2 linked regions of the Oryzias latipes genome follow. The protein of the gene in region 1 binds, or shares a complex with, the protein of each later gene. Links are inferred from orthologs where the notes say so. Each region holds a gene or a part of one and is shown on either strand. Other genes may lie near its edges.

Region 1 (3,032 bases):
CACCAATCCACCCACATCCCCATTCCTAAGTTTCCCTCTGTGGATGAATCTGCCACTTTCATCGGCCGTCTGTGCAGAGAGATCTTGCGAATCACAGATCCAAAGTATGTCCGCTCAGAGAAACCCTATAGAGTAGCCTCAAGGGAATAGGTGGTGGAAGGTGGATAAATGAGCTTTTTGCCATCTCCAAAGGCAACTAGATGAACAGGTTTTCTCCACAGGGTTACCTGCTACATCGACCAGCTGAACACCTGGTACGACTTGAAGAGTCACCAGGAGGTGACGAACAAAAGGCTGTTTTCTGAGATCCAGAACACTCTGGGTACATTTGGACTCAACGGACTGGATCGACTTCTGTGCTTCATGATTGTCAGAGAACTTCAGGTTGATTTTACTTCCCGTGGAATAAAACAACACCCTGAATTGAAAAATATTGAGGAAGTTGAACTTTATTTTGTAAAATTCTTTTCAAATCGTTGTTTGTGTCACTAGAACTTCCTGACAATGCTTCAGAAGAGCATCCTGAAGGACAAAGCCTTGGTGGAAGTCTTCAAAACTGTGCTGGCTGCAGTCAACCCAGTCCAAGGCATCGTCGGTAAATTCTTGTTCTCATTCATGAAAATGTATAGCCAAAGTCATGTATTGGTATTAATCATTTGATTGTGTATTTTGGCTATATAGCCAATGCCAGCAAAGCGTACACGAGTGCTGTGGCCAAATCCCAGAAGATCTGGGGTCCATACCTGGAGGCCATCATGAAGGTAAATCAAAACATTTATGATTTTATTTTTCGATATATCTGCTCACGTCATGAAAATGATGTTCCATCCCTTTGTTGTAGGTCGGTCAGATGCAGATTCTCAGACAGCAGATTGCCAATGAGCTTAACTTCTCCTGCAAGTTTGACTCCAAACACCTGGCAGCTGCCCTGGAAAACCTCAACAAGTAAGTGTTGTGTTTTCTGCCAAATTCAGGCTCTTTTTATGCAGTTTTGTATGGAAAATATGTACCTAGAGATGTAGTTCACGAGGTGTTTCTCACTTTTTTTTTTTTTTAGAATACATTCATTTCTAACAACTGATAACATTTGTTACTATAGCATATTGTGTTTTTGTGAGCTTAAGGCTACATTTTGCCACCTGTTGTGATCTCTTCTTCTTGTTAGGTCTCTTCTGGCAGACATAGAAGCACACTACCAGGATCCATCTCTCCCTTATCCTAAAGAAGAAAACACTCTATTGTATGAGATCACTGCCTACCTAGAAGCTGCTGGAATTCATAACCCGCTCAGCAAGGTTTGCAAGGTTTTATTTTATTTTAATTAGCCTGTTAAAAATGCCACATTTCACCAGTAAACAATGTTTATTTCTTTTTGGTTCAAACAGATTTACATCACCACAAAGCGTCTTCCTTACTTCCCCATCATCAACCTCCTGTTTATCATTGCTCAGCTGCCTAAACTTCAGTACAACAAAAATCAAGGTGCGTTTCACTTCTCGCTATCTTAGCTTGATGGATTGGAATCTGTGAATTTCTGTGGTGACTTTTTCTGTGTACACGCCAAGTTAAGGATTTTCTCTGTGTAAAAGGAATGACCTGCAAGAAAGCAACCGATCCTGTCGACTGGCCCCCACTAGTGCTGGGTCTGCTCACCCTGCTCAAGCAGTTCCACTCCAGATACACACAGCACTTCCTTGCTCTGCTTGGACAGTTCATCCGCTCTGTTATGGAGCAGTGCACAAGGTAACTAAAAGTTTAACATTTTGATCAAACCCATTGTTTGCAGTTTTCTTAAATTTGTCTTTTACTGGTGTCACAGCCAGAAAATCCCTGAAATGCCCTCTGATGTTGTGGGGGCCCTGATGTTCCTTGAAGACTATGTAAAATACACAAAACTGTCACGCAAGGTAAGAAAACAGTTACTTTAGAGGTGGTTTATTTTAAAGGTATCTGGAAGAAAAAGAATTGCTATGTCATGCTAAGACAGCTTGTTTTTACAAACTTGAAGGATTGTTAACATGCATTTCTTTTTATTATCTATCTGTTTTAAGGTGGTTGAAGCTCATGTACCCAGTTTCATTTTTGACGAATTCAGAACTATTTTGTGAGCCCCCGGACAAGGACATCAAACTGAAGATGCAGTCTTTGTTTGTACTGTACTTTTCTTTGTTTATATTAGTCTTGATCTAGTGGCAAAGATTTTTGTGGTAGAAGCAACAATCATTTTGCTCTAATTAATTGTTCAGAAATTAGGATGTGCTTTTTTTCCCCCCATATACATTTCATGCCCAGCCTTATAATCTGTTTCTGCAATGTTATAACAAAATGTGTTTTGTTAAAAATACATTTTTATTTCAACCAGAAAAGGCCACAATGTCAAATGTAAAAAAGCTTCAAGAAGTAGTTCATATTTCATTTTCTAGAACAATAAAGTTTTGTATTAATAAACTGTACATTTAATGCTCAATCAAAAACATTTCCATACTAATATTTTGTGGTATTGTTTATCAATAAATACAGTATAATTCTTTACTGCTCGTTGTTTTCTTTATGAATTTATTTGATGGCTTTTAGTTTGAAGAAACAAACGGAAGTGAAACTGTAACTTCCGTTCATCTCAAATGTTTACTACTTTTCTTCCTTTTCCTTCTTATTTTTTTGTTATCGTTTGATCTTTGGTTGTACTTTGAATTAAGAATAGTTACTTATCTTTTTTGTTTTTTTTTCTATTTTGAGATACATTGGCATATCTCATCTTTTCGCAAGACGGCGCGAGTATAAGGCTAGCAGTTAGCTAGCTAGCCGTTAACATAAGGAAGATATCAATAACGGTGAACACACAGTGATTTTTCTTTGGACTTTAGGGATAAAAGTTACGAACACAATGTCTCTGAGTGCTGTCAACGGCGCATTGTCCAATTTAAAATCGTGTTTGGCAGACATTGCGACGGGGATGGACATCGTGACGGACGTTGCCATAGATGTGGTGGAATCTCAGGGTAAACATTCGGAGCCTGCATCATTTTCTGCAA
Region 2 (3,304 bases), on another chromosome or scaffold:
CAATCATGTCCAGGTAGCCAATGGGCTCAAAGCCCCAGATAACAGTCAGAATTCTGAATTGATGACAAGTTTAGGTTTATGTTAAGTTGAGAATGTACTTTTATTTACTTATTTATTTTTTAAAATTTAATTTAATTAAAATAACCAAAGTGTACTTTTGAATTTAAAACTGTTCACTAATTTTCTCAATTGTTTTTAATTTTACTTTGTGGTTTTTCATTCCCTTCAAGCTGATCTCGATTTGACCCACATATTTCTCTTTTGTAGTTTTGAAATTTCCAATCTTGCTTTATTTACACAACAAATAAGGAACCAGTTAGTAATATAGACTGAATAGCAGGGATCTGGTTGCCTGTGTGCGTTACAGAAACATTCTGAGCATCTGTTTAGTGTACAGATATTATTTTCGCCATATTCATCAGGATTATAGTTTCCTTTAAAGCTGCTTTTCAACGTTTCTTCATGCTTCAGCCTCAGGAGGCACGACAAGAAGCTCCTGAGCAAAAAGCAGCAGCCGTTGCAGAGAATGTCCTCACAGTGGCCAAAGACCCACGATATGCCCGCTACCTGAAAATGGTTCAAGTGGTAAGTTATTATCTGATGTAAATGTTTAACAAAAGTCATATTTTGTTCAGTAATTTAATGTATTATTTTATGTAATGTATTTTTTTATTATTATTCAAGGGTGTTCCAGTGATGGCCATCAGGAACAAAATGATCCTGGAGGGTTTGGACCCCAGCCTACTCGAGTGAGTTTACATGGTTTGGTGAATAGCAGCGCTCCTATTTTTTTATCTTTATTCCACTAATAATGACAAAAATGTGTCCTCTTGTCTTTTGATAATAGCACGCCGGATGCCCCTGTGCCCGACGGAGCAGGAGCCAACACAGAGAACGAAGGGGCTGCTGCCTCCAGTTCTGACAGTGAATCTTCCTTCAGTGACTGAAACCTCTTTTTTTATTCTGCAAAACGTCCTGTAAGGTTCAAAATGCAAGTCTGCCTATAAAGAAACACATTGCAAAGAATCCAATCAAGTTTGTTAGGTGATTGTTTATATCCATCTGAATGAGCTGCAGCATTTTGATCAATGTTTAAAATGATTTGAAAAATATGTATATATATTTTGTCTATTCAAGAAAGCAGAAAGAGGAAGCTTTTTGAATGAGTTGGAGCACTAACACCACCTGCCTCACATTGTGTGGATGCCCACTTGTTCTAATAATAGCAGGGGGTCCCTCGTATTCTGTAGGTTGGGGCTGTGTAGCATCAGAAATCTGTTTTCCCAACTGTTCCTGAATGTATATTTTTTAGCTATATATTTCAGAGCTATGAGCGGAACTTTGCATCCTAACTGATTCAGTCTATAAAAAAGGTAGAATTGTCATTTATAGCTAAGAAATGAATACATTTGAGTCAATCTTTCATAGCATTATGTCCGTAACAGTTTTCTGCTTTTATATATGCGAAAACAGATATGTAGGCAGTTTTTACCACGTCATAATCATATACGTTGTGATATTGAAAAATTGCACTTTTTTTGTTTGTTTTGTTCATCATTTGACAATTTATTATTTTAAATGCTATTATTTTTGGTTCTGTATATAGGTAGAGGGGAAGCCAATCTTCCTTTAGGAGCCAATATCTTAAAGCCCCACTCCAATCCTCTTTTGATCTAATTTCACAGTGTTTTTATTTTATTTTATCTTTTTACTCTAATTATGTAGTTTTTAGCCAAAATCAAAAAAAAACCTGTCGTTTTCTAGGACATAGTTCCTGCAGAGCGGCAGGAGAAAATTGCCTCTTAGTTGTGAGGGTTGAATCAACCTTGCCCCCTCCCCATTGCCGCGACCTTTCTGTTTACACCAGGAATGGGGTCCTCCACATCATAAGAGAAAGAAGTGACATGGGATTAACATATATATTTTAAAGCTGAAAATCTTTGAATTTTTATTTCAAAGCTGTGACTTTTTTTTTTCTCATTTTAGAGCCAATTGCACTGATTGCACTTTCCTCAGGGGAAAACGCAGACTTAGAGAAATGCTGCATTCATGCAGAGTTGGAATGATGTGAAAAGTGACTGTCCAACTCTGAAAACAATCATAAATGATCAGAAATCAGAAAAACAACAACAAAATCTTCCTACACCACATGAATGTTCAGTAACTATCTGCACCCAGACAAAGATCGTAGGGAGCTTGCGGTCCGTCCAGCGTATAATGCAACTTTTTTCAAACAACATTTTTTAATTTACTCTTGATTGACAATGATTTAACAAAAAATACTCAGAAATTTTCTTTTATACATTCCATCCATCATCAGAAAAATGGCACAAGAGCATGTCAAAAACAATTTTTATTGGAGTGCGTCTTTAAACCCTTGGTATTCCTAATCAATTTGGAATTAAAGACAAAAAGTTCATTTCAAGCCCATCCTGAATGTTGAATGATGAAAAAAACAACACAATTAATGTTTCATCCTCCTACTTTTTCCCCTCACAAAAGCTGCTGATGTCTGGATTAAGGAAACTTGCACTAAATTATCACAAACTGTCAAAATAAGTTTGTTAAACTGCATTAGGCTCGCTCATACTCTGATTATATTGATCAGAACTTGTTAACAGATGTGTAGAAATGTGCCAAGAATGCTGTTAGGCTCAAAGAAAATTGTGTAATTGTTCAGAAAAGACTTTATAAAAGAAAAAGACTGTTGAATGTGTAACTTTCTCTGAATAAAGATGCATACAGTGTTTTCAAAATCTTTTTTTTAATTGGATTTAGTTTGCAGTACATCATATTTTAAGTACCAGTATAAAAACATTTCTTTATTCATGATAAAAAAATCAACTTAAGACAAACTGAAATACAGAAGCAGTTTACAAAAAATACATTTTTTTTCAATACATATTTGGTGATTTAGCAGTAAAATGAGCAGAAACGATAACAAAAAAGTAGTTTGAAAAGCTGTCATTCTGGAGGCGGCTACAGACCTTTTGTTTAAACGAACGATACAACATTGCAAGTATTTTGAATAAAATGTGGCAAGACCTAAGGAGAGCTGTGATAAGATAAGCAGCTAAAAAATCTCCACAGGTAAGCCGTGCAAAAAACAAATAAAAAAAAAACACTTTGTGTTGCATAAATGTAGCTTCTAAAGCCATCTAATCCAGCAAGTACTCCATTTTAAAAAAAACGATTTAATTTTTTCCTTGTTCTTGATATGATGTACCAGAAAGAGTGAACAAAAATGATACTAAAACACTGTAATTCTGTTAAAATACAAGTTTACTCTGCTCTTTATGGCAAT

What was found. The genes of interacting proteins can lie anywhere in the genome.
Region 2: washc5 (region 1) and washc3 share a complex: the UniProt entries of both Homo sapiens proteins name them as parts of the WASH core complex. The link is inferred for Oryzias latipes from reciprocal best matches to the Homo sapiens genes WASHC5 and WASHC3.

The regions. Positions count from the first base shown.
Region 1 is NC_019874.2:13,947,098-13,950,129, forward strand, and holds the end of washc5 (WASH complex subunit 5), read left to right. Parts: coding exon 1-104; intron 105-221; coding exon 222-384; intron 385-492; coding exon 493-595; intron 596-681; coding exon 682-761; intron 762-841; coding exon 842-945; intron 946-1,165; coding exon 1,166-1,295; intron 1,296-1,385; coding exon 1,386-1,482; intron 1,483-1,589; coding exon 1,590-1,743; intron 1,744-1,819; coding exon 1,820-1,907; intron 1,908-2,051; coding exon 2,052-2,108; 3' UTR 2,109-2,532; downstream 2,533-3,032. Other genes in the region: nsmce2 (E3 SUMO-protein ligase NSE2), read left to right, coding at 2,885-2,999. UniProt on the Homo sapiens protein: Acts as a component of the WASH core complex that functions as a nucleation-promoting factor (NPF) at the surface of endosomes, where it recruits and activates the Arp2/3 complex to induce actin polymerization, playing a key role in the fission of tubules that serve as transport intermediates during endosome sorting.
Region 2 is NC_019881.2:17,524,652-17,527,955, forward strand, and holds the end of washc3 (WASH complex subunit 3), read left to right. Parts: intron 1-471; coding exon 472-585; intron 586-684; coding exon 685-749; intron 750-847; coding exon 848-947; 3' UTR 948-2,749; downstream 2,750-3,304. UniProt on the Homo sapiens protein: Acts as a component of the WASH core complex that functions as a nucleation-promoting factor (NPF) at the surface of endosomes, where it recruits and activates the Arp2/3 complex to induce actin polymerization, playing a key role in the fission of tubules that serve as transport intermediates during endosome sorting.